Canis lupus familiaris: one gene and its partners. The protein of the gene in region 4 binds, or shares a complex with, the protein of the main gene of each other region. Links are inferred from orthologs where the notes say so. Each region holds a gene or a part of one and is shown on either strand. Other genes may lie near its edges.

Region 1 (4,893 bases), on a different chromosome or scaffold from region 4:
TGTCTCTATGAATAAATAAATCTTAAAAAAATAAAATTCCATTCATCCCCACTCTGAATGAGATCACATTCCCATGAGGCTGATGACAAAACTTGGTGGGGAGAAATCTAGCCAATGATGCCTGGGTCTCACCTGCTGACCCTCCCTGAGCAAGTGCCATGAATAGGGAAAAGCCCTGATTCAGGGCTACATGGGAGTCTCCTGGGGCAAATCGAGTAGCTGCTACCCTGGCCCTTCCTATACCCTTACCGCCCTGTGGGGTCTGGCTGAGATCACTAGGAGAGCTCTATCAGGTCTCAAGGCTCATCGTCATCTATGGAATCAGAACCCAATGGGACACACACACATGGTGTAGGTGTCCAACAGGGATGATCAAGCTTGAGTTTGGGGAAACTCAGGCCCAAACGGACCATCCCCAAACCTCCAATGTCTTGAGGTTCATTAATCCTAGCCCCACTTCTCCAGCAGACCCATTCTGTTCATACACATACCAGCCACGGCGGGAGGAAGCATCTCAGTGGCTCTGCAGCTGGGTCTCTCCCCATCCCCACCAGTAACCTGTGTTCCCAGGGAAGGGGGGAGGGGCTCACAGTATCATGACTGATTATCAATGCTATTACTTAGACTCTGTATTAAAAGTAAAGCATGAAAGACATGGGCCTGGAGTCCAACCTCAATGGCATCACTTCCTGGATGTGACACCTGGGTGAAGGACTTCCCACTTCTAAACACTGATCCTCTCAAGTTAAAATAGGCTTAACAGCAGAGTCTACTGACCTTGGAAGGTAAGAAAGAGGAGAAAATAAACAATGCATAAATATACAAAGAATGAGCACACTAAGTATTAGTTCTTATCATTGTGAGGTCACTTTCTCTCAGTTTAAGGAAGATCTAGGTGGGGGAACACAGGTAGAAACCACATCTGGGGACCCCTGGATGGCTCAGGTTGGGCACATCCCTTCAGCCTGGGGCATGATCCTGGGGTTCCAGGATCAAGTCTCGCATTGGGCTCCCTGCATGGAACCTGCTTCTCTCTCTGCCTGTGTCTCTGCCTCTCTCTCTGTGTGTCTCTCATGAATGAATAAATAAAATCTTTTTTTAAAAATTTAAAAAAAGAAACCACATCTGCATCCCCCAAGGATCAGATTCACTGTCAAATCATGAGTATCAGAGAACAGCTCAGAGGAACAGATGAACACTAACAACTCTTACCTGCAGTGATCAAAAGGTAAACGACGAAAATTTGCTTGTGGGATATCTGTTTAAGATGAAAATAAAACAAAGTTTATTCTATAAATAACTTTATGTAGGTGTTCCTACCAACAATTCAATACCATGTTAAGAAAAACTTCGTGTAAATTACCTAGTGCAAAAACTGCTGTGGCTTAAAAACCTTTTAATAGGTAGAACACGTGGAGGACATCAAGAAAGAACTTAGAGGCCAAAGTACATACTTGCTTAAGCCACTGCGGCTGGGTTTCTCCCACAACCCTCACACCCCTGCTTAGGGCCTTGCTTGGCTTTCAAAGACAACTATGTTGGTTTTACCTCCATCAGCAATTATTGAGTGTATAATAATTTTTACTCTTTTTACTGGAGCCTTGACAGCTTTGGGTATTATCATTCTTTTTATTTTTTATTAACCTGACAGAAGAAAGAAGGTTATTTTAATCTACGTCCAAAAATATCATCACTGGGGTGCCTAGGTGGCTCAGTTGGTTAAGCTGACTCTTAATTTCAGCTGAGGTCATGGTCTCAGGGTCATGAGATTGAGCTCCACATCAGCATGGAGTCAGCTTGAGATTCTCCCTCCCTCTGCCCTCGCTCGATCTCGCGTGCTCTGTTAAAAAAAAAAAAAAATCGCCACCAAGAGGATTAAGCATTTTTCTTGGATATGTTTAGTGAATTTCTCCTTTGCAAATTATCTGCGTTCTAAACGCATCCATCTGCTACACTTTCTGTGTTCTTGCTCATTGTTAATTTTTACAGTCTCATTGTCTAGTGAAGATAGCGCCCTTAATTACAACCTCCCCCATGACACACATCCACACCAAGGAAAACAGAAGGATTGCATGCCTTACCTGGTTTCTTGCCACCATAGAAGTGAGTGTATTCAGCACAGGTAATATACCTGAAGAAGAGAGAGAGAGAATCTTACTACCATCTCCCTTTATAAAGAGAACAGAGTCTCTGGAAGTAACTGATGACTCAATCATTTCACTCATTCAGCAAATGCTTATTAAACACCTACTATGGGGCAGCCCAGGTGGCTCAGCGGTTTAGCGCCACCTCCGCCCGGGGTGTGATCCTGGAGACCCGGGGTCGGTTCCCGCATCGGGCTCTCTGCATGGAGTCCGCTTCTCCCTCTGCCTGTGTCTCTGCCTCTGTGTGTGTGTGTCTCATGAATAAATAAATAAAATCTTCATAAAAAATAAATTTGAGATATCAGACCTCCAACTGGAGATGCCGAGTAAGCAGCTGACTACTCCAAGAGGGGATACCACAAGGGAGAATGTAAAGGAGAAAAAAACGTGGAGGACATGGATGTACCAAGTCTGTGGGAGAGGGAGAAGGATCCAGCGAAGGGGCCTGAGAAGACAGTGGCCGCTGAGGCAGAAGGAAAATCAAGAGCATAAGGTGTCCCACATGCCGAAGAAGGGCTTCAGGAGGATCGAGGTGGTCACTGTGTCACATGCTGTTGAGAAGCCCAACAAAATGAGAATTGAGAGCTGACCACTAGACTTAGCAACAGGTAAGTTACTGGGATTCTGACAAGAGTTGGCCTTGGGAGAAAAGCCTGCCTGGAGTGATTTCAAGAGACACAAGAAGGCAAAGGGCTGACTGAGGAGCCGCGCTCGCGAGTGCAGACCGGGCGGGAAGGCCGCGCTCGGAGGAGGGCACCTACGACGGGTCAGAACCGGCAGCCGGAGACCTCGGCGCCCGGGGGGGGTCACTGCCCACCGGGGAGGGGGCGGAGGCTTTGCGGACCCAGCGGCATCGGAGCGTGGCTCTGGGAACCAGCTGGGGGGCGGGCCGGGCGGGCACGGAGGCCCAGCGGCTCAACTCACATCTTGTCCTTCTGATGCTGTCGCTTCCCCATGACGGCGGCGGCGGCGGCGGCGCTGGCAGCGCCAGGACCAGCGAGGGCAGAGAAACGGCTGTCAACAACTCAGACTCCGACTTGTCCGCCGAGCTCCCTAATTACTTCCGGGTCCCGCGGCCCCGCCCCGGAAGCGGGCGCAGGGCGGACCGGAAGCGCGGCGTCTGGAGCCGAGTGCGCATGGGCACGGGGTGCGGTGGGTCCTGGGGCTCGGGTCCTGGTCAGGTGGCCGCGGGAGGCGGGCTCGGGACCCCTCCACGTGCGCACCAGCCGCGGCCCCGTCCGTCCCTGCTCGAGCCCGCCCCGGCCTCTCAGGCCTGGCACCGCGAGTCCCACCAGTCTCGGCCTCATCTCTGCTTCCTTGCGTGCCCAGCATCCCCGCCCGTCCAGCCCCCACCGCCTCCGGGCCCCTCGCCTTGGCGGCTCGGGGGCACGTGGCCCTGAAGGTCCAGCGCCCTCGCGGCTCTCTTCCGTGTCTTCCTAAGGACCCTTCCCTCCACCAGATCGCTGTGTCCGTGTGCCCAGGCCTGAGCCCTAGATCACTGGGTGATCTCGCCCAGGCTCCTGGCTTTAAATACCACTTGTATCCCTTGATTCTTATCACTAAACGTCCACACTTCCAGACCCCTGGCCTCTACTTAGGTACCACAGATCTCAAATTTAACATGTCTGGTCAAAATAGCATTCTCCTTACCCCATTCACAGCCCCCCCCCCCCCCCCCGCCGTTTCCTCAACTGTACCACTAGCCAGTCACCCAAAGCCAGTGGTCCTTGCCCTTTCTCATCTCATAGCTGCCTCCTCATATTCTAGATTTCGATATAAATGTCACCTCCTCAGAGGGACCTTCACTGACAGACAACCTACGCATACGTGTCTGCATACTCAGCTCCCATTGGACTTACCACAACTTCTAACCCTGTTACTAATTTGATCTGTGCACTGGTTAGATACACATCCACAAGGATAGGATGGAAGCTCCTTAAGAGTAAGGACCCCAACCATTTGGTTTATTATCTCCCAAGCAAGGTGTGGGGCATACACAGAGGTTCAACAAATATCTGCTACTGTCCAGCAGTCATCAAGCATTTTGTGAGGACTCCTCTCACACGCAGGTTTGATTCTATAGCTGGTGTGTAAGATGGGTCCCATCTCTGAAATTCCATAGGGGGGTGCCCTAGGGTTGTTAGTTGAAAACTAACACACCAGGAGCACCTGGGTGGCTCAGTCAGTTAAGCGTCTGCCTTTGGCCCAGGTCATGATCCTGGGGTCCCAGGATTGAGCCCTGCATCCAGCTTCCTGCTAGGCAGGGAATCTGCTTCTCCCTCTCCCTCTGTGCTCTCTCAAATAAATAAATCCAAAAAAAAAAAAAAAAAAAACCAAACAAACAAAAACAAAAAACCCTAACATACCTAACATACCAGCTTATTGGAAAATAAGGGAGGGAACAGATCACTCTTTCTACACCCACACCTGGATAAGGCCTGGTTTAGGGGCCTAAGCTAGGAAAAACTAATAGACTTGCAACTCAGTGCGGTCAGTTGAGGCCCCAAAGGGGCCACAGAGTCACTGTAGGGGAGGACAGCAGTCTCATCACTCATTTCAAAGTGCTGTGGTTGGGGCGCCTGGGTGGCTCAGTTAAGTGTCCAGCTGCCACTCAGGTCATGATCTCAGGGTCCTGGGATAGAGCCCTATATCAGGCTCCCTGCTCCTCCCCACTCATGCTCTCTGGCTACCTAAATAAAAGCTTTAAAACAAAAACAAAAAACCAAAGCGCTGTGGCTGAATTCCCATG
Region 2 (4,790 bases), about 75 Mb from region 4:
AGGAGGAGGGAGCAAGGAGAGGGAAGAGAAGAACCGAACGTGAGGGCAACCCCCATTCCAACCCTAACCCGGACGCCATCGCACCTAAGAAGCCCCGGTTCTTCTTCCTAATTCGAACCTCCAGCATCGGAGGTTTCCAGAAGAAATCCTAGGCTAAGGAAAGTCCCTCTAAACCCACCAGGTCCAGCCCACCTCAATCCTGATGGGGAAATCGAGGCCGAGAGAGAGGAAGGGACTCTTCCAAATAGCTGACTTTCAGATTGGAACCCAGAATTCCCAGTGTTACTACTGCAGACTCTCCCTCTTAGGTAGAACCACCTATTACAGAACAAGCCCAAAGCCTCAGTTCGTTAGCAACGGGCATGCGCTCTATCGACGGAGACCGCAGCACCTGCAGCTTGGGCCAGACGACACAGCCACGTCAACCTGAGACCTCAGGGAAGGGGAGGCGGGGAATGAGGGCTCCCGCGGTGCCCGTGCCCCTGCCGGGCCTCACCCGCAGCTCCCGGCCCCGCGGCAGCTCCTCAGTCTGGTGGTGCCAGCCGCTCCAGATGGTGTAGGTCGCCGAAGCCAGGGCCAGGGCCAGCAGAAGCAGAGGCAAGAAGTGCGCCCGCGGGAGCAGGCGGCGCTTGGGCGGGGAGGGCGGCTCCAAGAGGCCACGTTCCCCGAGCCGTAGCCGGGACCGCCCGCGGCCCCCGGAAGGCATGGCAGCTTCGCCCCGAAACCGGTCCCGGACCGCGGATAGTTTAGGCCCAGCCAAATCCCACCCCATGGAATCACCGAACCAATAAACACGAAGAGCGGCTGCACCATCCCACCCACCCTCGGTCAGTGAAACCAATGGCGACCCTCACTCTGAGAACACGCCTTCCTGTCTCCCTGGGGCTTTGGGGTTGGTTCCCCTGAGGGTTGCACAACCCAAAAGGGTAGTGCGAAAGGGAGAGGCTCCGCCTCAACGGAGGAACGGAAGCCAATGAGCAATGTTTGATCCTGAAAAACGTTGGACCAAGGAGCAGGTCTCCGCCCCTCCCGTAGGAAGGCAAAGGATTGGTTACTCGAAGTCGGAAAGATCAATAGACACGTAAACGAACCGACACCGATGGAAAAGGGGCGGTGCCCGTCCCAGAAGCGAGGAGCCGATTGGCTACACGGAGGCCGCGCCCCCGAGGGCGGAGCCGGCGGGCTTTTGGAATGCCGTGTCCTGTCCCTTCTTCAGCTTGTGCCGCTCTACAACGAAACGATTTGAGTCGGACCCGCTTTATTCTTCTCTCCATTGTCTTCTCTCCATATGGTCCTGAAAGACCCTGAGCTACTACGCAGTGCTTCTACCCCACGTCTGCGCGGGGCCGGCGCGGATTGCCACGGCAACAGGCCTCGCCCACACCGTGCAGGTTGGGATTGCGCAGGCGCCGACGGAAGTCGGCCACAGGAAACGGAAGTCCCGCCTGTAGCCCTCTCTTCAGAGGCAGGAGCAACGCGGGGAAGACGGAGCTGATCTGCGAGCGCAGCCGCTACCACCATGTGAGGCCCGGCGGGAGTGGGGTCGAGGGCGTAGATGTGGCCGTTTGCCGGTGGTGGGCGAGGCGGGATCGGAGGCAGAGGTTTTAGGGGTAAAGTACGCACCGTTCTGACGAGTTTGAGGATGGGCATGGGGCCTTTTACGGGTCCTGAGTTCGAGGGAAGGCACTTGATCAGTTAATGAGCCGGGATTTCCCCGATAATGAGTCTCGCTGAAATGGATTTTAAGGGGAAGCAAAGAACCTGGGAAACGGGAGTGCGGAGTTTTAGAAATAACGGTTTGAGGTACGGGACTTACCCGGACAATTTGAGCTGGAGAAGTTCACCTCATTCGCGACTTTTTCGGCTCACGAATCGCCTTAATGATTTTCCTGATTTGGTATTCATTCAGCAATTATTTATTGAGCACTCATGTATTAGGCACTGCTTTAACTACGTGAGATACATCAGTGACTGCGACCCCCATCCCGCAAGAAAAATGCCCTGCTGCAGCTTATGGGTGTGGGAAAAGGCAGACAATGAACACACCGGTGATAAAAATGTAAAGTGTATGGCGTGTGTTAGGTGATCAGAGCTAAGTGAGTAAAGAAGCAAAAGAGCAGGATCCAAACAATGGGGAGTACTAGTTTTGAGAGAAAGTAACTCAATAACCAGTGCAGGACACATTGAGAAGGCAGCAGTTGAGCAGAGACCTGAAGAACCTGAGAACCACAAAGATACCTGGGGAGGTATCCAGGCAGAGGGAAAACGAAGGGAGATGCCCAAGGTGAAAGTCTGTCTAATATCTTATATATTTTTTAAAGATTTTATTTACTTGTGAGAGACACAGAGAAGCAGTATCCCCACAGGGAGCCCGATGTGGGACTCGATCCCAGCATCCCTGGGTCAGGATCTTTTTTTTTTTTTTTTTTTAAGATTTTATTTATTTATTCATGATAGACATAGGGGGAGAGAGAGGCAGAGACTCAGGCAGAGGGAGAAGCAGGCTCCATGCAGGGAGCCCGATGTGGGACTTGATCCCGGGACTCCAGGATCGTGCCCTGGGCCAAAGGCAGACGCTAAACCGCTGAGCCACCCAGGGATTCCCCCTGGGTCAGGATCTGAGCCGAAAGCAGATGCTCAGCCATTGAGCTACCCAGGCGCCCCTTGCCTAATATCTTAAAGGACCACCTTCAAGGCCACTGGCTGGAACAGAGAAGGATGGGAAGATGCCAGGCATTGTAAAAACTTTGGGTTTTACTTTTTACACAGAGATGGGAGCCATGGGAGGGTTTCGAAGAGTGAAATGATATGACTTAGATTTTGATACAACCTCTGGGACTGCTGTGGAGAACAGACGGTCAGCGGCATGGGCTGAGGTAGGGAGACAAGTAAGGCTCTCAGGAGAGAGATGATAGAGGTTTAGGCCATGGTAAGAAACAGATTCTGGGTATATTTTAGAGGCAGATGACAGAATTTGCTGACATTGAATGTAGGATGTGAGAGAGAAGAGTCAAGTTGATATCAGGGTTTCTGCTCAAGGAACTAGAATGATGGAGATGAGGAAGGCTGTGGAAAGAGTAGGTTTGAGTGATTGGGAGATCTGGAGCTCAACTGAGGATGTATACGGTTGGAAATGTCTATTCAGCATCCAGCTGGTGATGCCATGCAAGAGGGACTGAGCAGGGGGGTGGGTGGGTTGGGGAGACATCATGTGACCACCCACGCTCTAGCTCTGGGCCTCTCACCTACGGGTTCCATGCTTGCCCCTCAGGAGCCTCCTCAACAAACCCAAGAGTGAGATGACCCCAGAGGAGCTACAGAAGCGGGAGGAGGAAGAGTTTAACACGGGTCCGCTCTCTGTGCTCACACAGTCAGTCAAGAACAACACCCAGGTGCTTATCAACTGCCGCAACAACAAGAAGCTCCTGGGCCGTGTGAAGGCTTTCGACAGGTAAGCACCTGGGTCCTGGAAGGTGTTCTGTCTTGGAAATGCAGACACAGTTCCAGTGTGAGGAACCCAAATACAAGGTTTTCAGAGTCCTGGGGCATAAGCATATTCAGACCTCAAAGTGCAATGGTGTCTTGTTGTCCTTCCAGCTGTGCAGTACAGTAGTGATGGGCATGTACTTGGGAGCCAGGCTTCCTGGGTTTGTGTCTCGACTCTGCCTCTTAGCAGCCATGAAACCTTCAACAAGTAACTTTATCTCTTCCATTCAATGGCAGTAATTCTGGTGATTGCAGAGATTCAGTGACTTAATACATGTGATGTGTAATACAGTCATTAGAAGTACAGCATCTGGCACCAGGAAGCTCTTATTAATCAGGTTTTGCAGTTACGATATAAAGTACCATGCCCCAAAAGAAAAAAATAAAGTACCATGCCCAGTACTTTTTTTAGGCTCCAGAGACACAGCAATGACTGAAAGAGGACTCCTATACTTAAGAGAGCTTATGCCATAGGTAGGGAAACCAACAGCAAGCACACAAACAATGTGTCATAAGAATAGTAAAGGCAGGTGAGAGTGTGGAGTGCTGGGAAGGAGGTGTTGTCCTAGACGGTAACGCTAGGGGTTCCATAGGAAGAGACCGTGATGAACAGACCTAAATACAATGAAGGAGGAAGCCAGGGTCTGAGTGTTTCAGCCAGAGGGAACAGCAAGTGTTATTTCCTCTCTCGGCCTCAGTGTCCTTGTCTGCAAACTGTGCGTCATAAAAATACCCCTCATAGAACAGTTGTGAGGATTAAATATTTCTGTAGGAAGGGTACTTGGCTCAGTAGCTAACATGATAAATGCTCAATAAACATAAAACCTGCAGCCTTCAGTTAGCATTTGGGAAGTGGTATGGCGAAGTGTAAGTCTAGAATGTTTTTGCCACGAGCTGTTACATGACCATGAATAAGTCTTTTCACTTGGAGCCTCGGTTTCTTCTCAAGGAGAATAAGAGTGAGAACAGGAAGTATTGGGCCCAAAAAGGCAGATAGACCTAGATTTGAACAGGGCTGTGCCACTTCTAAAACATCATCCCACTGCGCCAGTGTCCTGCTCTGCAAGCTGGGGGTGATACTAGTGTTTACCTTCTGGGGGTGAGATGTAGTGAGAATTACTGGCTTACTGCTTCGAAGAGGGCACCTGGGTGCTTAGTAAGAGCACAATCGGTGGTGGTTTATTCATATACATTTGTGTGTCCACATCTTTTTAAAGATTTACTTCATTTATTTTGGGGGGAAGGGGCAGAGAGGAAGAGTTCCAAGCAGACTATGCTGAACAAGGAGCCTGATGTGGGGCTCA
Region 3 (4,350 bases), on a different chromosome or scaffold from region 4:
TTACAGACTACCTTAGTTCACTACAGAGCAGCTTCATTTAAGTTTTGCCGCCTTACAAATCATCCTAAAAACCCACCTGTAAAAAGAGCCCCTTCTATGTCCATGTCCTTCAGGTAAACACTGTCCCCACTAAGTCTTCCTATAGTTAAGATGTGTAGACATTTTCTTTTAGTTTCGACTACCAGAAATCAATCACATTAACTGCCCATGTGTCACTCAGCTTAGATCCACGGTGTCAAAAATTCCCTTCTAACTTCGTTATGTTGCTAGTTTACCTTCTACAAACCAACTCCAAGTTTCAAGTCACTTTGCTCTGCTAAATCTGAAGTGCAAAAATGACTCACTTGTCACTAAATACACAGACCCCAAGAGGGAGGTTGCTCCAGTCACTCCTTTGGCCCTCCTGCACTTCCTGGAATGTGCCAGGCTCCTTCTGCCTCTCCAGCTGTACGCAGATACTACTCTGTTGGAGCGCCTCGCTGACTTTGCCCTGTCTAGCATAGGTGTTCCCATCTCACCACACACTTTGCCTTCACAGCACTTACTGCACTCATTATTAAAATAAAGACGGAAAAATAATTTCACCATTTATTTCCCTTGCCCAATCCTCAGTGTGCCAAAGGTGCCAAGGGGGGTAAAAACATAGGCTTAACTAAGATTTCTATTAAAAAAAAAAAAAAAGGTGGGTTCCTGCAGTATTGAGACGGTTAAGTAAAAGTGAGTGGCCAACATTTTTAAATTTAGAAATTTATTCTGTTTAATCCACAAGCTTTATATAGCTTTAGTTTAAAAAAAAAAAAAACAAAAAAACAAAAACAGTGAAAACAAGACACTATTTCAAAGTCTGGGCCCTTCCAGCCTTCCAAATACGAGAGCTCTGAAAGTTGTATATACCAATTGGAAGAACAAGACAAAATTATGAATGGAGCCATGACATTTCATAAAACAAACTTTTATATAACTGAAGGATCCTTCCTGGGACTAGTTAATTGCCTTTACAAAAAAACACAACAGAATAGAATGAATTCCAGTGTTCCAAATCAACTTGTTACACATCAATATAAACCCACAGTGTCCTGGCAAACAACATGCTTTCATTTTCCATCTCGTCCTAGAGCTCGAATCCTGATTCATTTCAGCAGAGACTCCACAGGCAACAGGAAAGATTGTGGCATTAAAATATTCATTTATACTTTGTGGTAGTTCAACAGTGGTCTTATTTCTGGGCAAGCTTGCAAACCATACAAGGTTGGAAGCATCATAACTTAAATGGGTGCTAAGACTCAAATGAGAAAAAAATAAAGAAAAAAAAAATGACAAGAAAGGAAAACCTCTGGGAATAGCCAAGGCCTTTAAAGAAACCATAAAAATGCCAACAATATTGAAACCCCCTTTTTTAAAAAGAGGATTTTTTTTTTGGCTTAAAATATTTCACTCTAAATGAATTTATGTCAGCTGTCAATGAAAGAATGTCACTAATACACTGTGGACACCTTTTGCAATGTAAATCCATGCCCCTTTTTTTTTTACATGGTGAACTTCAACCTAGCAATTATTACAACAAATGTTATAGTCTAAAGCTCAAACACATTTTAGCAATTTTGAAATTGAATTGCATACAAACCAAATAAAATGTACATCGTGACACACATTCCCGCCTAAGACTGTGGGGACACTTGAGCCTTCCGCATCGACCTCAGCGCCTTTTCACGCAGGTGCTTCTCTAAGTCGTCGAGGTTGTCTTCAGGCTCACTCTCCGTTTCCTAAAACCAGAGGGGCCACACTGGTGAGTCCTGACACACTGGCAGAGAGGTGTAGGGTGCAAGGGCAGAACCACATCATGGCAGTGACTGCACAACTCTAATACACTAAAACCCCCTCAATCAGCTGCACAACTCTATGAATATACTAAAAACCCCTCAATCATATACTTTCTTTTTAAATTTACTTTACTTAAGTACTCTATACCCAACACAGGGCTTGAACTCACAACCCTGAAACCCTGAGGTTAAGAGTTGTGTGCTCTACTGAGCCAGCCAGGCACCCTTGAGTGCCTTTTAATAGGTGAATGGCACGTTAATTATATCTTAAAGAAGTTATTTTTTAAAAATATACAGTAAGCATTTGGCAGCCATTCATATTCTTCTCCTTCGTCTTGGTAGATATCAAGAATGAGGATAGATCAGAAGAGTTAGCTAACAGCCGAGTAGCCATTATTGTAAAAAAATTCTTTTCTTCTCAACAAGTGACCAAGCGATCTGTAGAAGTCTAAGACACACACGTACCTTCTTAGGCTCGGGCTCTGCCTCCGGTTCCTCCTGTGCTGATGTGGTCGTGGGGGCCGCAGGGGCCGTGGGAGTGACAGCTGCTGCAGCGGCTGCTGCCATGGCCTTTTCCTTCTTGTGTTTTTTGTGCTTCTTGTGCTTCTTATCCTTTTTGTGTTTCTTGTCCTTCTTTTTCTTCTTTTTCTTTCCACCTCCTTCTGGGTCTGAGTTCTAGAAATCCAGAAAAATCCCAACAATAACATCAATCAGATTAAAATGTTGTCCAATAAACGTTTTACTTTCTCAAGGGAATAATTAAATGGACAAATCTCAGGAGTCCCCAAGGCTTTGGGGGAGGGGGAGCCCAAGGGCAATCCCTGCCAAGAAAAGTATGAAAACCACATTGCAAGTAAAGATGCTCTTCCCAGATTTTAAGATTTTAAGATGCCTGGGTGGCTCAGTGGTGAAGCGTCTGCCTTTGGCTCAGGATGTGATCCTGGGATCTGGGATCAAGTCCCACACTGGGCTCCTTGCGTGGAGCCTGCTTCTCCCTCTGCCTATGTCTTTGCCTCTCTCTCTCTCTCTCTCTCTCATAAATAAATAAAAGTTAAAAAAAAAAAAAAAAAGTCAGAATGGACCCTGAAGGACCTTTCTGATCTCCCCCACATTAAACCAAATTTCCCAACCATGAGAGGCCAGTCAGGTGTCCAGGATCCCAAGCTACCTCCAAATATAGGGAAAGCAACATGTGCAAAAGAGAAGTCTCTGAACTCAGCTAGACTTCAGGTGAATCTGGCTCCTGAACCTGTTCACCATTTGACCTCAAATATTTTTCTAAGCTCCCTCTGTAAACCTAAATGGGTACAGCAGTCCCCAATAAAGCTGTCAGGGTCTATCTGTAAACTGCCCACAATACTAGCCTAACAGGTGGCAGGCTTTCAGTAAGTACAGTTATTATTCTAAACACACACTCATGTGAATGCCCCATTCTCCAGCCACTGTTACAGCTTCTCCTGGCTCTAGACTGGAAATTGTTCCTTAATGCATAACCACTGACCGTTGAACAACATGGGGGATTAGAGGCAACAACTCTCCATGCAGTTGAAAACCTGTATATAACAAGCCCTCAGTCTGTACATAGACCAGAAGCCTTATGGGTAACATAAACAGTCACTGAACACATATTTTGTGCGTTATGTACATTTTATGCTATATTCTTACAATAAAATAAACTGCAGAAAAAAACATTAAGTATAAGGAAAAAAAAAGTATAAGGAAGAAAAAACACATTTACAATGCTGTACTGTATTCACCAAAAATTTCCATGTGTAAGTGGCCCCGCTCAATGCTATTCAAGGGTCCAACTGTTAACGCCAAAATTATGCAAAGGGCAATTCTGCTGTAATTGAATTCCATCTGTAATTCTCAAATTTCACATTTGTAAGCAGTTACTTAAAATTCCTCAATCCATTCAATTACTTTGTAAAGTAATTCAGGCAACCCGACTGCTGACATGGACATCTAACTACTGACTTCATACAATAAAGAAACCTATTCAAGATCAGATTAATGATTCATAGAGGGGATGATATAGTTTAAACTCCAATACTTTAATATCCCAATGACATTTAAACTTCACAAGGTAAAAACAAGTGTTATTCTTATTTATGCAACTTTTTTTTTAATTAAAGATTTTATTTATTTATTCATGAGAGAGACACACAGAGAGAGGCAGAGACACAGGCAGAGGGAGAAGCAGGCTCCATGCCGGGAGCCCGATGTGGGACTCGCTCCCTGGACTCTGGAAGCACACCCTGGGCCGAAGGCAGGTGCTCAACCGCTGAGCCACCAGGTGTCCCTTATTTATGCAACTTGCCAGAGGTTAAGACTAAACCAGACAATACTGTACTTTCCACTTCAGCTAGTATTTTACAGGTTGCCAGGTTCATTTTTTATAGAAATATATTATTTCTAATATATTAGAAATAGAAAAAGGGCACTACACGTAAAGAAAAATTAAGATTACTCATCACTTCCCCTTCTCACATATAATCACTATGAACATTTGGTACTTCTTTTGTAATAT
Region 4 (3,287 bases):
AATGAAGTCCCAAGGCCAAAAGGTTTGAGAATTACTGATCTAAAATATGTCAGCTCACATTACTTAAAACCATTAGTCCCAATGGCTCCTCATTCCCCTCAGGATAAAGTCACAAGTTCTTGCACTGGCCTAGCAGGCTCTACTCTTACCTGTTCCTCCTCCATCACCCATCCCTCTACTCCTCCCCTTGCTCACTCCCTCCAGCCACATTTGCCTCTTTGATGTTCCTCCAAAAAGCCAGATAATTTCAGTATTACCACCATTGCACTAGCAGTTCCCTCTGCCTGGAAAGCAATTCCCTGTTTTCTGTGTGACTATTTCCCTCCCTTCCTTAGTCTTGCTCAAGTGTAACCATCTCTATAGTCTAACATAAGCATCTTGTTTGAAAGTGCAAACGTACTGCTACTCCCATCCTGCACAACACCTAATAAACTTGTTTATGCCTACAATTTGTGTGCCCCCCCAAGTATAACATAAGCTCCAAAAGCGAGGCAAAATGCCCACCACATAGAACTGACTCAACAAGTATTTGTTGAATGCCGAATGAATGAAAGAACTCGTCTGACAGCCTGTCGTTTTTCAGGATGTGTCCAGAATCCCAAGAGAAAGAGACGATGCAACTTACATAGAGGAGTGGGCAATGCTAGTAAAGATTTTTCTGAATGCAAGAACATGAAAGAGGGATACAGTGATCATAAACCTTAATCCTCAGTCCTGAAGGCATTATGGGCCTGAAAAAAGCTCTTGGGAGAAGTCTGGGTTGGGGAATATTATAAAGATCGTGCAAGGCGGATTTAACTGTATGCCAATGAACGCTGGCCCTGTGCTCAACTCCTCCACCCATCCATCTCCCGCCTCTTCGGTCTCCCAAGAAACTAAAGTCCCCAAAGCCCTCCTTGGACCCCCTTCCACTCAAACGCAAGTGGTCCACACCAAGTGATTGAAAAACTTCTAGACTTTATGGAAAAAGAAACGACAATCAACTAGCCAAAAAAGAGCCTCCAAATCCCGTCTGATCCCAGTTCCTTCCCCCCTCTCTTGCTGGTTTAGGACCTCTCCACCGTCTCAGTTCTCACGGGTCCTGACAGTCTCCCAACGCTGTTCCTAAGGGTCCACAGGAAAGCAGGTCAGGCGGGACGGCCTCAGCTAAGCACTTGTGCACGAGGAAGGCGCGAGAAACAGGAGCAATGGAGAACCGGTCCACTTCGGGGCAGGAACACGCGGGAGAAACGGCAAACGGGAGGAACTCGGGACACGCTCCCGCGTGGCAGTGACGAGACGGGGGTGTCAGTTCTCCTCCGGCTTGTCGGCTGGCGGTCCGCAAGGCTGCAGCATCTTCTCCATCAAGTTGAAGCGGACTCGCGCTTTGCTCTCATTCTCCGCAATGGCGAAGTAGTTGAGAAGGTCGAAGTGGCCCATGTAGGAGCAGTAGGAGTCGCGGTGCTGGTTTACCAGCCACTCCCACTTGGTGGTGTCGGCGTGGCCCGTGCCGATGTACTTGGACTGCAGGTGCTCCAGCTGGCTGTGGATAGTGTAGCGGTCAGTCATCTCGCCGCTTTCCCTTCGCGCCCAGGTCAGACGCCGCAGAGGAGAAGCTGCTCTAGACTTCCACGCGGGAGAGAGCCCACGACACGGCACCTCCCGGCCGGCTCAGTCGCAGGAGAATGACGTCACAGCCACGGAGCCGCGAGGACTCGCGGTCCTAGCGCTCAGAGGAGGAAGCGGAAGTGTATTCCGTCAGGGAATTGGAGTTGCCTAGGCGACGCTACCAGTCGGCCGCCCACCCCCCGCCCCCGCCATGGAGAGCTCCGCCCCCTCCGTAGAGCGTTGCATCATGGTTCATTCAGTGGCCCTTGCTCTAGCGCGGAGCGTTGCATGCCGGGAGCTGCGGTCGCCGAGGGTTCGTGCGCGCCCGCCTCCCTGGGCGGTCGTCGCGGTTTAAGAGCCCGCCGGCGCCTGGTGGAGCGTCGTGTCGGGGAGGCGGGGAGCATCCCTGGGCGGCTGGGAGCTGCGAAGAAATGGGGAGCTGCCACAGGCCGCCGTGAGAGTAACCTCGGTGTAACTTTGGTTTCGGAGCGAATGTGGCGGCGTGGTGGGCCCCGTCACGGCCCGGGGTGGGTCACCCTGAGAATCGGTCGACGCGACTGCGGCTCCCAGCTGTGCGTCTTCCTTCAGCGCTGGCGGGGCCGCCGTTTCCCGCCCGGTGCCCGAGGACCCTACGGGCGCCGACACGTTCGGGCGCCGACACGTTCGGGCTCCCACACCGAGCCCCGCCCCCCCCGCCCCCCCCCGCCCCCCGGCGCTCCAGCTGCTTCATTTGATGTCCTGCCTCCAGCTGCTCGCCCCACCCTACGCACCCCAGCCTGTGTGTCTCAGCATTCCGTGCCGCTCGCCTCTCCAGTTCTTTGTACTAGATGTTCCCTCCGCTTGGAATGCTTTTGTTCCCTTGGCAAACAACTTCTCTCTTTAAGTCAGCTCAAAAGCATCTCCTTGAAATCGGCTTTGGCCACACCAGACAGACGTAAAGTCTCCTGTACATCGCTTCATTATGATCGCCTTATAGCCTACGCTTTGGGTTCTTTTTTTTTTTTTTTTTTTCTGAGAACTCCCTCGTGTGAATTCAAACTACTTGGGGGAAAGTAGCGTATACTTTTTTGATGCCATCATTTATCATAGCTTCTTTTGTGGCATCTTTTTTGTGATAACCACACTTGCGATACTTGGCCTGGTAGAGCTCGCATTCTCAAAAAACGTTTGATGAATGGATGAACAACTGTGGCAGCAAATAGAAGGGACTCTTTAGTGGGAGAAAGATGACTTTAAAATAGTTCTGTTCTGCAGTTAGGTACAGATGAGTAAGTCTAGAGATCTAATGTACACACAGCATGATGATTGAAGTTAATCCTGTATTGAATATTAGAAATTTGCCAAGAGAGTGGATTTCAGGACGTGTTGATTAGCTCAACTGTAGCGATCATTTCATTATGCATATCCATTAAATCATGTTGCAAACCTAAAACATAAGCAATTTTTATTTTCTAAAAAAAAAAAAATATTTAAAGGAAAGAAAATGACAAAAAGCATTCTTTATGGGAACAAATGCCTGTACCAAAAATGGAAAAATAAAAGTCTTATTCTTTGGTTTAAACCATGTTATATAACATTTCATTCCTAAAATGTGGAGACTGTTATAAGATATACCTGAGGATTCACTGTCCAGATATATCAGAGCTTACCATTTTGCCATTGCTTCCAACTTGGTTATATTTGTTTTGGTTTTGGTTTTC
Region 5 (4,771 bases), on a different chromosome or scaffold from region 4:
AGATGGCAAATGGACTGTATCCCTAGGAATGATACAGATGGAAAGCCAGCAAGGGTATCAAGATCTACAAGCTGAAAAAGAGAACAGTGGAGGAGCAGAGGTTTGAGGTTTCTCCAATGAAAAGTCCTAATTTCTTGCTCAGTTTCCAGACCTGGAAGAGGTAACTGGGTCCCTAAAAGGAAGAACAATGACATATATGCCCCAGGACCTCCCCTAATGGGACCTATAGTCACTTATATCAGTGTCTGTACACTGGGGAGACAGCCAGACACTCAAGGAATACTGGACTCAAGATCAAAGTTAACATTGATACCTAGACACCTGAAGCATGATCATGGCCCTAAATAGGGGGCTGGGGGCTCCAGGGCTGAGTAATCACTGAAGTCTTGGCCTCAAACAAGACTCACAGGGGGCCTGCAGATTGACCTAGTGGTCATTTCCCACTCCTCAAGTATGTAACTGGAATTGAGTTGGTACTTAAAGAGTATTCCCCACAGGGGTCCCTGGCTTTTAGGGCAGGAGCTGTCACAGTGAGGAAAGTCAAGTGGAAACCTCTAAAACTGTTCTCCTCCACCTTGGACAAGAATACATTGACTGGTTACTTATCTGTATCAACTTGGCTCAGGCTATAGTACCCAACTAGTCAATCAAACAACAATATAGGTGTTGCTATGCAAGTATTTCATAGATGTGATTAACATCTACCATCAGTTGATTTTCAAGAGATTATCCTTGATAATCAGGGTGGGCCTTATCTAATCAGTTGAAGAACCTAATAGCAAAACTATGATTTCCCTGAAGAAATTCTGCCTATGGACTGCAGTATCAGCTACTGCCCAAGCGTTTCCAGCCTGCTGTCCCGCCCTATAAATTTCAGATTTGCCTAACCAGTCCACACAACTGTATAATTCAATTCCTTGCCATACACATACACACATACACACACAGGCATACCTCAGAGCTATTGGGGGTTTAGTTCCAGACCACAATAAAGCAAGTATCACAATAAAGCAAGTCACATGTATCTTTTCATTTCCCAGTGCATATAAATTTATGTTTACACTATAGTTTACTAAGTATGTAATAGCATTGTATGTAAAAAAAAAACAATGAACATATCTTAATTTAAAAATACTTTATTGCTAAAAAAATGCTAACCAATATCTGAGCTTTCAGTAAATCATAACCATCAATCACAGATCACCGTAACAAATGTAATAATAATGAAAAAGTTTGAAATGTTGTGATTATCAAAATCTGACAGAGAAACGAAGAAAATGCTGTTGGAAAATGACAGAGACTTGTTTCACACAGGGTTGCCACAAACCCTTACTTTGAAAAACAAAAAACAAAAAAACAAAACAAAAACAACCACAGTTTATCTGTGAAACACAATTAAGCAAAGCATAATAAAATGAGGTATGCCTGCATGTTTTCTCATTAGGAATTGGCTTACAGCAAGATATACATATCCTACTGGTTATTTTCCCGGTAAAACCCTAATTGATACATAAATCAAAACAATATTACATCTCAGTGGAGCCAGAGTAAATCAGTGCTACTATTAAAAACCTAGAAGATGCAAAGAATGGTAGCCCCTCTATCTTTGCACCTCTAGCCAAATGGGGGTCCCTGTATGTATGACCAGCTGAGGCAGAAAACAGCTTGAGCTTGGTTTTTATGTGGGTTCGTTCAGTATGTGGGCACATAGTGATGATGAATGGTATCTGCCTTACTGCCACATTCAGGGGTGGAGAAGGAAACATCTTCCAATGAATGGGATCTAACGTAGTACACCTGACTTGGTGTAAAAGAAGAGGCATAATGTGAGACTCTTAATTGGGTATACACAGACTCCTGGGCAGTGGCCAGTGGCCTGGCCATCCAGTTGAGAGACTGGAAGGACAAGAGGTAAAAATCAGAGACAAGGAGGTATGGTGTAAAAACTGTGGACTGACATGTGAGAGATAAGGCAAAGTGTGAATACTTTTGTATCACATGCTAACATTCATCAGAGCATCCACCACAGAAGAAGCACTAAACTGCCAGGCAGACAAAATGACTGAGGTGCATAGGCCTTTTGTCAGTGGCTACTACACAACTGGGATGATGGACACATAAAGAGAGTGCCATGGCCCAAGAGCAAGGACTTCTGCTTACCAAAGCTGATCTAGTGGGAATCTTCTGACAGGTGCTTTGGCTCCCATTTTATTGGTCTTGCTCAAACATTCTCACAACTCCATAGCAGTTTAAGCCTTTTTCCTACCCAACCTTCCTTCTTGCTTTCCCTCTTCTCCAGAGGTTAGACTTCTATCAGAGTCGGACTGCTTTTCCGGACTTCTCCAGCCTCCTTTCCCATTTTCTTTCATGGGCATTTTCTCCTAAAAACAAAATCTCTTGCACATCTAATCTTGGACCCAAACTAACATACCAAGTAAACTAATTAAATGTGTTCACTATTAAAGCTCTGTTCCTTTGTTTTGAAGGGTCAGAAGTGCAAGCTTAGTAATTCAGCAGCGGTGTTATGGTCCTGCAAACTAATTCCTACCTAACTCAATAAGGGACTGACTGAAAAACTAAAAGGACAAGGTTCTCAAAATGAGAAAAAAAAAAAAAAAACCTGCCAAGGCGACCAGAGAGATACGCAATGAAGCTGACAAAGTGTTCCCATCTCAGCAAGAACAGCTACTTGAAAAGGAAATGACCCAAAAGTGGCCTGGCCTGTCTGAAATGTGGAAACAGCTGGCTAGCCAAAAGGTAGAAACAATCCAAATGTCCATCCACCAAGGAATGGATAAACAAAATGTGGTCTATCCATGCCATGGATAGCCATAAAAAGGAACAAAGTACTGATCCATGCCGCAATAATGGATGAACCTCAAAAATATACTAAGTGAAAGACACCAGACACAAAAGGCCATATATTGTACAATTCCACTTGCATAAAATGTGCAGAATGGGTAGTTCCAATAGGAATGAAAAGCAGATTGGTGGCTGACAGAGACGAGGAGGGGGGAATGGAGAGTAACTGCTTAATGGGCACAGTGTTTCATTCTGGAGTGATGGAAATGTTTTAGAACTACACAGGAGTGGTGGTTTTACAACACTGTGAAGATACCAAAGGCCACTGGATTGTTCCCTTTGAAATGGTTAATCTGATGTTATGTGAATTTCACCTCGATCAAAATAAATAAATAAATAAATAAATAGTGAGGCGGTGCATGGACATTGAAAAACAGATGTTTAAAAATTTTTTTAAAGGAGGGCAGGGGGCAGAGAGAGGGGGCTGGTGTTAAGAATCACTATCCCCTTCCCATCAAGCTGTCCAGATCTAGTTAAACCACACTCCTCTATTCTATGGCTGTACCTGCCAACTGGCTTGCCACCTAAACATCTAGCACAAAGACTAGAATCCCTAGATTGCCTGGTATTTCCCCTTTCCTGGCAATTATGTCATAAACTGGGGTCGTAAATTCAAGGGCCATATTTACGAAACCAAATTTAAGTCCTGAGCATGTTCCCAGGAACAATGGATTTTGTCAAAAGTATAGGATATGTGGCTGTTAAGACTACAGCTCTCGATGACTCTCATACTCAAGGGATTGGAAGAATTTAGCCCAGAGATTTACCTCACAGTAAAAGTGTAATTGAGTATGACTGCATTTTCAAGATCAAGTCCATTTCCAGTACTAGTAGACTGTCAAACAGGCCACAGCTTCAGTGGTGCCTGCGGTCACTGGGGTTGGAGGAGTCCCGGTCACGCGAGTGCCGGGCCCTCTTACGCCTGTGCGATCTCTCTCGGCTCCTGCTTCTACCTCTCCGGCTATGCCCCTCAGAACGCCCATTGTGCCGGCTGGAATGCCTGTCTGAGCTTCGGCCTCTGGCTCTGTCTCTGTCTCTGTCTCTCTCTCTTTCTCTCTGTCTCTCTCTCTCTCTGTTCTTTTCTTCTCTTTCCTCCCTCCTGCTTGAGGACCTACGTTCGTGCCTGGGCTTCTCCTTCCTCGGCTCCCTCTCTCTGTCCTCTGCTCTGCTGCGGCAGGTGGTCTTGACCTCGGGAGAGCTGTGGTGGTGCTTGCGCACCTCTCTGGGTTCTGACTTCTGACCCCTCTCTGGGTTCTTGGTGCTGTGCTTTTTAGAGCCAGGGTCATCCTTTTCCTTTTCCATCTGGTTTCTGGGGGATGAAGAGGAGACTGGATGCTCTGTCTGTACTTCCTGGTCAGTGTTCTCTTTGTCTTTCTTTCTTCTCTTTTTCTCCTTTTTGTCTGGAGGGAAAAAGGGGCACAACCAATAAGGAAAGGAAGAGGGGGAAGGGGGGAGGGTATGCCAAAGGAAAGCACTACTGGTAGCATTGGGAAGCACTCATAATCTATACTTCCAGAAAAGCATCTGTGAGAAGTCAACTTTGACAACTGTCCCCCTTGACAGGTCAAGTCACTGGATAAGGCAATCCTCATCCCCAAATTACCTTTCTAAAGACCCGACCTCCAAATACAGTCACATTCTAAGGTCTCGAGGGATTAGGACTCCAACATATGAACTGGGAAACAGAATTCAGCCCATGATATTAGTCTTCCACTGATACCTCTCCTTTCCCAATTACTATACGGTTCCCCACACCCTTCCTTTTCACACCTAATAACTGATTACCAATTCTCAGTGAATACTAGGAGGAGCAAACACTAAGACTACCCAGAATCTTCTCTCAGGTCTTAGTGCTTTACCTTTTTTGTATTTTTTTGGGGGTTTGTCATCTTCGGAACCCTCGGATGAA
Region 6 (3,066 bases), about 58 Mb from region 4:
GGTGTCTGACTCTTGATTTAGGCTCAAGTCATGACATCAGGGTGGTGAGATCAGGCCCTACATCTGGCTCCATGTTTAGCGGAGAGTTTCCTAGAGATTCTCTCCCTCTCCCTCCACTCCTCCCCCATTCACATTCTCTCTCTTTCAAAAATTAAATAAATAAAGTATCTTATCATTGTATCTTCAGTGTTTACTTTTTCCTTTTTTGCTATTTTTTTAAATTTTTTATTTAAATTCTATTAATTAATATGTAATGTATTATTGGTTTCAGAGGTAGAGGTCCATGATGCATCAGCACAATGGACTATTATCCATAAAAAAGAATGAGATCTTGCCATTTGCAATAACGTGGATGGCCCTAGAGGGTATTATGCTGAACGAAACAACTCAGACAGAAAAAGACAAATACTATATGATTTCACTTATGTGTGGAACTAAAAAAACAAAATGAAGGAACAAACAAAACAGAAACAGACTCATAGATACAGAGAACAAACTGGTGGTTGTCAAAGGGGGTTTAGGGGGATGGGCAAAATGGGTAAAAGGGAGTAAGAAGTACAGACTTCTTGTTATGGAATGAATAAGTCAAGGGAATGAAAAGTACAGGGTAGGGAATACAATCAATGATATTGTAATTGGGTTGTGTGGTGGCAGATGGTAGTTACACTTTCGGTAAGTATAGCATAATATGTAGACTTGTCAAATACTATGTTGTACACCTAAAACTACTATAACATTGTGTATCAACTTCAATTAAAACACACACACATGCACGCATGCACGTACACACACACACACACACACACACACACAGATTGTTGGGCCTCATCCCCAGAGTTTCTTTTTTTTTCTTTTTTTTTTTTTTTTAATAAAAACAATCCCACAGCATTTATTGTCCTCTGGTAAGAACATAAAGGTAATCAAAACAATATGAACAAGGGTTTTAGAACTATATTCCCAACAAAGGACATCTAAAAAAACAAACTACGTGGCCTTCTCAAGAATTTCTCACTTCACTGATCATTCATTCTAGTTGGAGACACTTTGGAGCAGGGTAATATTATCTCCTTTTAGCATGATCCGACCCAGTTGTTTTCTTGACTTTGTTTTAGAATGAATCTCTTTGGCATCGTCTAATACAAGGCTCATGTACTCATCAAAACCAATGATACAGCCCTCTATCCGCATGTTTATTTGCTCATAAAGCCACACCTGAATCCGAGATCTATTTTGCAAGTATCTGAAGATGAGGTTGATGGGCTGAACCATCACCTTCTGCACTTTCTGGCCCTGGCCACGGTACGCCATGGTGGAAGCGGACCCCAGAGTTTCTTTAATACATCTGCAACAAGGCCTAAGAATTTACATTTCTTTTTTTTTTTTAGGATTTATTTATTTATTTGTTTATTTGTTTATTTATTTATTTGAGAGAGAGAGAACACATGAGTGGGAGGGAGAGGGAGAAAGAATCTAAAGCAGACTCCCCACTGAGCATGGAGCCCCAACACAGGGCTTACTTAATTTCATGATTGCAAGAACATGACCTGAACCAAAACCAAGAATCAGATGCTCAACTGACTGAGCCACCCAGGTGCCCCAGAATTTATATTTCTAACAACTTCTGAGGTGGTGTCAATGCTTCTGGCTTAAGGATCACTCTTTGAGAAACTTAAGAAACAAACAAAAATGTATGGGATGCCTTCCTGTGTACCTACATACACCTGATTGGAGCTGCAGAATAAGAGAAGAAAGAGAAAGGGGCAGAAAGAATATTTGAAAACATAGTGAGCAGATCTTTCCAAATTTGATGAAATACATAAATCTACACATCCAAGTTATTATAGTCCCTATGTAGAATTGGCTCCTGCAGATGAGAACTCTGTCCTGGCTGACACCTTCATTACAATCTTGTGTGGCCCTGTAGCATAGCACCAAGCTTGGCCATCCCTAAATGCCTGCCCACAGAAACCGTGAGATAATGAGTATGTGTTCAAGCCACTAAGTGTATGGTTATTTGTTACCCAGCTACAGAAAATTAATACACTAGTCTGTCTGGCTCCTGCAGTCTATGCTCCTTGTCCCTTTCCTGATTAGTTAAACATATCATGAAAGGCAGTAACTGAGGAGTTGGTAGAGATTATAGACTTTCAGAGTTCCAAGAAACTCACAGGGCACTAGTCCAGCACCTCTAAGACATGCAGATCCCCTTCCTCAAGGGAACATCTAAGAAAATAGGGATATTGGGGATCCCTGGGTGGCTCAGCAGTTTAGCACCTGCCTTCGGCCCAGGGTGTGATCCTGGAGACCTGGGATCGAGTCCCTCATCAGGCTCCCTGCATGGAGCCTGCTTCTCCCTCAGCCTGTGTCTCTGCCTCTCTCTTCCTGTGTCTCTCATGAATAAATGAATGGAATCTTTTTTTTAATTAATTAATTAATTTATTTATTTATTTATTGGAATCTTTTTTAAAAAAAGAAGAAGATTGGGATATTGAACTATAAGATGGTGATCTGAGTCCCAATAACATTGAGATGATGACTAGGGATAACTACAAGTAGTGCTTTTAAATATTTTTTATGGCTGAGTGAAGTAAGTTAGTCGGAGAAGGACAAACATTATATGTTCTCATTCATGTGGGGAATATAAATAATAGTGAAAGGGAATATAAGGGAAGGGAGAAGAAATGTGTGGGAAATATCAGAAAGGGAGACAGAACATAAAGACTGCTAACTCTGGGAAACGAACTAGGGGTGGTAGAAGGGGAGGAGGGCAGGGGGGTGGGAGTGAATGGGTGACGGGCACTGGGGGTTATTCTGTATGTTGGTAAATTGAACACCAATAAAAAATAAATAAAAATAAATAAATAAATATTTTTTATGATTCATAGAGACCCACTGATTATGATATTTACTCTCTTTTCCTGTCATTGTTAGCAGTAAAAACACTGATAAAATTTGAAAACATCTGTGTGCTTGTTTCAGAGCCTTTGGGTCGGGGGTGAGGGATAAGGAACTTGAGTCTTGTTTTATAGACAATCTTAAACCATCTTCATTGACTGTGAAAGTGAC
Region 7 (5,140 bases), on a different chromosome or scaffold from region 4:
GCATGATGTACCTGAACTGCACTCGGCCTCATTCCTTCTCTCCTGCCTCACAACAACTCTGAAGCATTATTTTATTCCATTTTGCAGATGGGTCAGTTGAAGGTCTAAGGAGTGCAGTTCTTGCATGGTTAAGAATGATCAACACCTTTTCATGTCTTCCTCCAGTCAGCAGCTCAGACACACACACACATTATCCATGACAGCTTTCCAGGCACTTCCTCAGGCCTACTTTGGAAGCATTGGCTCCTGGCGACCTGGGGATGGCGTGACTCACATTCTGCCATGGCCATGTTGTCCTGGAGACGCCAATCTTGCCCACTGCCTACCTCATGACCGCTGTGGGGTTAGATAAGCTACCGGACCCAGGGGACAATGCAGAAGCAGCTATGTTACCTGGCCACAAAGCTGGCAGTCTTGTCAACGATATTCCTGACCTCCGGAGGAGGATAAATAATTCCCACCACTGGCTTGGAGGGGGTAGAATCCTCCTTTGAAGAAGCTTCTTCTTCTGTGGGCTGTGAAAAACAAAAGGAAAGGAAAATGATGTCTCGACACTCCTGATCTGGGGGACTGGATCCCTACTGTCAACCTCCTCTAAAATTTATTGCCAGTATAGACTCTCTCTTACGAACTTTTCTTGAGTTAGGACCCATTGCTCCAGAAAAGCAGTTCTCTTAATTGTACAGCACTTGCATGGAACTCTCGCAGGGAACCAGTGAAGAGAGCAGCCTCCTTGGCTTCCTGCTGCTAGCTGGTCTCAGTGACACTGAGAATCTGCATTTGTACCAAGAGTCCAGATAATGACTGCTGAATAAAGATAGGCGATTCTTTGCTGGCAGCTCCTTATGTCGTTTTCCTCTGCATCTATTCCAGTCTTTACCACTCAATGCTCAAATGTTTTGTGAAACCCTACTGGAATATACATCAACTATCCTGTAAATTCCAATATTCTTTCTTCACCAGTTTCTTTCCCTTAGTAAACAAAGGGTCAGTCTCTCATCTTAAAAAATAGCAGTTCCCTGCCCTCATATTCTTTTCTGTGGCTGTCCTCTCCTCCTCTTCCTCTGATAGCTAAATTTCCTGAGTTCTCTGTCTTGCCATTCCTACCTATTTCCTCAGCTCCTGTTTGGTTCCCATCCATTTCAAGTGCTCTTGCCAAATTTGGTCAAATATGACTGCCTACAGCCAACTACAGCAGTCATCTATCTGGTCATGTGACCATGACCATTCCCTCACAAACCTCTCCACTCAAATCCCAGGCCCCATTCTCATGTGTTTTGCCTTCTTGCTCACCATTCCATCCGAGTTTCCTTCCTGGCTCCTGTTTCACCTCCTGCCCTATATTAGAGTTCCCCAAAATTCTATTCTCCACAGTATTCACACTGTCCTCAGGCACTCCAACCATGGGTCCTTCACTTCCCCTACCACTTCTAGGCTGAACAATCACACACAAATTGATGTCCCCGATCACTCTTGTGTGCCACAGAACTCCAGATCCAGCTGACTCCCAGGCACTTTCCTCTCTAACCACTTTTCTCATAACTGGCCAACAATATACTGTCATCCAGGGCAGAAACATGGGCCTCCTTTCCCTTCCTCAGCCTCCACATTCAACGATAACATTTATCAAGCACGCAGTAGGTTCCATATACTTTTCTAAGAACTTTAAATAAATTAACGCTATAGCCTTTATGAGAGCCCTTTCATGTGAATACTCTTATTCCCCCCCATTTTACAGATGAAAGAACTGAGGAACATAAAGCTTAACTGGCCCAAATGGAAGACCAGGATTCCAAAACTTTAGTTGGATTCCATCACTTTAGTTGCAGAGTCTGTACCACCAGCCATATTGTGACTTGAGCTTGCCCATCCAGTCTGCCCCCCCAAACCACCTCTCAGCATCTTTTGAGTAAACTGTGCTCCTAGCAATTCTCATCACTACCTGCCTACCTGAATTTCTGAAACACAAACATGTCATTAACCAGCTCCAAACTCTTCCCTTTCTCCCCACTATCTACTAGGAAAGTTCAAATGCCCCCAAATGCATCTTTTGCCACCACTCTCCCAATCCTATGTTTCAATCACACTTTTTAATTTACTCTTTACCAGAGACATCATCTGATTCCTACCCTGATGTCTTTGCAATTATCTGGTATTACTTTGTTTACTTTTCCCCAAGTGACTTGGGAAATGCCAGGAATACAGATATATTTAAAATACTTGTGGTAAGGGTACAGACCTCTTCTATCATGTACTCTGCTGTATTCTAAACCCAAAGCAGTGGTCACCATATAGCATGTATTGAATAAATGTTTGCTTAATGAATAAAGGATGCCATTAACCTTTTCCAATCACCTGTCTGGCAAACTACTAATTCATCCTTCTAAAAGCCATTTACCTGTCACTCATGTAGGCTTCACCTACTTTAATTTCCCCTACACTCCATCAAAGAAATGTTGCTTTGTTTCTTTTGTACCTGATACTAAAAGTGCCTATCACACAGTACTGCAATTATTTACACACCCTTTTCCCTCTCAGCTAATAAGTGCTGACTGTATCATTTACGGTGATCGAAAAAATAAACATTTGTAGAATATTCATCTTATATCTGCCTCCCCACTAGAACCATGAGCTGCCTACACTAGTTGTGCTTCATTCATTCTGGGTAAGCCGGAGCATGGTACGGTGTTTGGCTTAGAGTAAGCACCAAGCAGATGCTGTGAACTGTCTAAACTGTACCGTACAGGATGCGAAATTAAGGACTGCTGGGCAAAAGCCGGCGGGAAAGGCGAGGGTGAGGAGGGCCAAAGGTGGGCCCAATAACCACAGAAAACCTGCGAATGGGCATAATCAGTGTTTCTCAAACTTTAATCAATCACCTTGAGATCTTATTAAAAATGTATTAATATTTAGGTCTAGCATTTCTAATGAACTCCCGGGCAATGTTGATGCTGTTGGTCCGTGGACCACACTTCCAAGGGCGCTTTCGTTACCGAAGGCCGCGCAGAGCGGGAAGCGCGCGGCCTCCTGGGACTTGTAGTCCTCCAAGCCCTCGTAAGCGGCCGCTTCTTCCTCTGCCTTAGTGAGGAGTGCCCGCGCTGGAGGGGAGGGCCCAAGCCGAGGATAGGGCTGCCGGTCGAGGTGTGGGGGTCGCGGTACCTGTTTGGGCTCGGTGGCCGCGGGCGGCGGCGGGGGCACCGCCTGCACGGGTCCGGCCGGCATGACTGCGACGCTCAGGGCTGCCAGTCCGCCTCGCTGAAGGTGAGCGGTGCTGCGTCAAAGCAGCTCCCCGCACGGACGATACAACAAGCTCGCAAGATGGCGGCGTCCGAGAGACTCGACGCCAAGGAGGAGGAGCTGACGCACTTCCGGGACCGCCCCTTATTCATGATGCAACTTCCTGCTCCCGCCCTGGAGTGATCAGCGCGAGACGCCGTTGCCATGGCAGCGATCGAGGCACCCAGCTAGGATTTGTGGGGGTTCCCCGGAGCCCTAGGCGCGTCGGGGGGCAGTTCCATGAGCCGACCAGACCACAGGGGCTGAGGCTGCGACGCAGGATCCTGGGGAGACGTTCTACATCACCCACCGGACGCTCTCCGCACGCACCCCACGGCCCTGGCCCCCCCTCTCCTTTACTTTAAAGGTGGGTTCTTCTCTCCCTCCGACCCCGCCTTCAAGGGCCTTCCGCTCCCTCCCATTGGCTTGTCATTTTGGAGAACCCCTTCCCCTCCAACCTGCCTCCTCAAGGCCCCGCCTCCTTCCTCAGCCGGTTTCGCTTCATGCCTTCTTCCTTCAGACTCCCTTCCCAAGTCCCGAAATCAAATTCCCACTGGTTTCTCTTCCCGTGGGACTGCCTTTCAAGGTTCCACCCTCTGCCTTCCATGGTCCCGCCCTCAAGCCCCGTGGACCGTCTCGAATCAAGACTTCTTTAAGCTCCGTCCCTCACTCCCAAAGGTGCGTTCCTCCTGACCACTTCCTTAGTTTTACCGAGCTCACCTCGAATCCCGCTCTTTCCATTTCCTTTCCTGAGATCCGGTCCACCTCGTCCCCTCTCCTCTCCATCCCAGCTCCGGACCGCGGGTCGACTTTTAGCCTTTGCTTGGATAGTTTAACAATTTCTTTACTTGCGAAATGGAAACGGGATAGGAAAAGATGCCCTACCAAATGTCTTACCCCATCTCTCTTTCTCACAAGCACACACTCCGTAGCTGGTTTATGTCGTTATTTTTTTTAAAGATTTTATTTTATTTTATTTTATTTTATTTTATTTATTCATGAGAGACACAGAGAGAAAGAGAGGCAGAGACACAGGCAGAGGGAGAAGCAGGCTCCATGCAGGGAGCCCGATGTGGGACTCGATCCCTGGTCTCCAGGATCACACCCTGGGCTGAAGGCGGCGCTAAACCGCTGTGCCACCCCGGCTGCCTTGTCGTTGTTATTATTAATGTAGAATGATAATGATAGCTAGGACTTATTGTGGGGTTTTTTGTTTGTTTAAATATTTTATTTATTTATTCATGAGAGACACACAGAGAGAGAGAGAGAGGCAGGGACACAGGCAGAGGGAGAAGCAGGCTCCATGCAGGGAGCCTGATGTGGGAATGGATCCCAGGACTCCAGGATCAAGCCCTGGGCCAAAGGCAGGCGCTAAACCGCTGAACCACACAGGGATCCTTTTTTTTTCTTTTAAGATTTTATTTATAACTAGGTTTTATTGAACGTAAGTTTATCATGGACAGCTATTGCACCAAACACTACACGCAGTACATCACTAATTTCTTACAGCAGTTTATTTACAGATGAGGAGAGTGAAGTTCAGAGTTAGTGGCGTGGGAATCCAAACCCAGGCCATTCTTACTCCTCTCTCAGTGCCGCGGCTTATTCCTTTGTCTTCACCAAGTCCCTTCATTGTCCCTAGGGATCCAGGCAATTAGCAGTCCTGAGTCAGAGGCTGACAACTGGGATATATAGATAATTTCAGAGTTTTCAAAATGTTTTCATGGTTGTTACCTTGAATCTCAGGAGGGGCATTGACCAGGAGGTAGGCATAATCTTTACCAGCGGGGTCCTATGACTGGTCCATTGAGTCCTATGACTCAATGAACGAAGGGGCTTGCATGTTGAATGGGAGTAGAGAAAA

What was found.
Region 1: SF3B5 (region 4) and PPIL2 share a complex: the UniProt entries of both Homo sapiens proteins name them as parts of the minor spliceosome. The link is inferred for Canis lupus familiaris from reciprocal best matches to the Homo sapiens genes SF3B5 and PPIL2.
Region 2: SF3B5 (region 4) and SNRPD2 share a complex: the UniProt entries of both Homo sapiens proteins name them as parts of the minor spliceosome. The link is inferred for Canis lupus familiaris from reciprocal best matches to the Homo sapiens genes SF3B5 and SNRPD2.
Region 3: SF3B5 (region 4) and SRRM1 share a complex: the UniProt entries of both Homo sapiens proteins name them as parts of the minor spliceosome. The link is inferred for Canis lupus familiaris from reciprocal best matches to the Homo sapiens genes SF3B5 and SRRM1.
Region 5: SF3B5 (region 4) and RBMX2 share a complex: the UniProt entries of both Homo sapiens proteins name them as parts of the minor spliceosome. The link is inferred for Canis lupus familiaris from reciprocal best matches to the Homo sapiens genes SF3B5 and RBMX2.
Region 6: SF3B5 (region 4) and small nuclear ribonucleoprotein E-like share a complex: the UniProt entries of both Homo sapiens proteins name them as parts of the minor spliceosome. The link is inferred for Canis lupus familiaris from reciprocal best matches to the Homo sapiens genes SF3B5 and SNRPE.
Region 7: SF3B5 (region 4) and SF3A1 share a complex: the UniProt entries of both Homo sapiens proteins name them as parts of the 17S U2 SnRNP complex. The link is inferred for Canis lupus familiaris from reciprocal best matches to the Homo sapiens genes SF3B5 and SF3A1.

The regions. Positions count from the first base shown.
Region 1 is NC_049247.1:31,106,719-31,111,611, reverse strand, and holds the start of PPIL2 (RING-type E3 ubiquitin-protein ligase PPIL2), read right to left. Parts: upstream 3,231-4,893; 5' UTR 3,101-3,230; coding exon 3,069-3,100; intron 2,132-3,068; coding exon 2,082-2,131; intron 1,259-2,081; coding exon 1,213-1,258; intron 1-1,212. UniProt on the Homo sapiens protein: Has a ubiquitin-protein ligase activity acting as an E3 ubiquitin protein ligase or as an ubiquitin-ubiquitin ligase promoting elongation of ubiquitin chains on substrates.
Region 2 is NC_049222.1:110,602,106-110,606,895, forward strand, and holds the start of SNRPD2 (small nuclear ribonucleoprotein Sm D2), read left to right. Parts: upstream 1-1,470; 5' UTR 1,471-1,519; coding exon 1,520-1,521; intron 1,522-3,271; coding exon 3,272-3,451; intron 3,452-4,790. Other genes in the region: QPCTL (glutaminyl-peptide cyclotransferase-like protein), read right to left, coding at 497-772. UniProt on the Homo sapiens protein: Plays a role in pre-mRNA splicing as a core component of the spliceosomal U1, U2, U4 and U5 small nuclear ribonucleoproteins (snRNPs), the building blocks of the spliceosome.
Region 3 is NC_049223.1:74,413,557-74,417,906, forward strand, and holds the end of SRRM1 (serine/arginine repetitive matrix protein 1), read right to left. Parts: intron 2,496-4,350; coding exon 2,286-2,495; intron 1,764-2,285; coding exon 1,659-1,763; 3' UTR 732-1,658; downstream 1-731. UniProt on the Homo sapiens protein: Part of pre- and post-splicing multiprotein mRNP complexes. As a component of the minor spliceosome, involved in the splicing of U12-type introns in pre-mRNAs. Involved in numerous pre-mRNA processing events.
Region 4 is NC_049222.1:35,794,530-35,797,816, forward strand, and holds SF3B5 (splicing factor 3B subunit 5), read right to left. Parts: upstream 1,683-3,287; 5' UTR 1,549-1,682; coding exon 1,288-1,548; 3' UTR 938-1,287; downstream 1-937. UniProt on the Homo sapiens protein: Component of the 17S U2 SnRNP complex of the spliceosome, a large ribonucleoprotein complex that removes introns from transcribed pre-mRNAs.
Region 5 is NC_049260.1:102,441,708-102,446,478, reverse strand, and holds the end of RBMX2 (RNA-binding motif protein, X-linked 2), read right to left. Parts: coding exon 4,722-4,771; intron 4,263-4,721; coding exon 3,718-4,262; 3' UTR 1,121-3,717; downstream 1-1,120. UniProt on the Homo sapiens protein: Involved in pre-mRNA splicing as component of the activated spliceosome. As a component of the minor spliceosome, involved in the splicing of U12-type introns in pre-mRNAs.
Region 6 is NC_049222.1:93,812,706-93,815,771, reverse strand, and holds small nuclear ribonucleoprotein E-like, read right to left. Parts: upstream 1,328-3,066; 5' UTR 1,309-1,327; coding exon 1,030-1,308; 3' UTR 868-1,029; downstream 1-867. UniProt on the Homo sapiens protein: Plays a role in pre-mRNA splicing as a core component of the spliceosomal U1, U2, U4 and U5 small nuclear ribonucleoproteins (snRNPs), the building blocks of the spliceosome.
Region 7 is NC_049247.1:23,909,864-23,915,003, forward strand, and holds the start of SF3A1 (splicing factor 3A subunit 1), read right to left. Parts: upstream 3,223-5,140; coding exon 3,160-3,222; exon of another isoform or gene 3,112-3,159; intron 516-3,111; coding exon 394-515; intron 1-393. UniProt on the Homo sapiens protein: Component of the 17S U2 SnRNP complex of the spliceosome, a large ribonucleoprotein complex that removes introns from transcribed pre-mRNAs.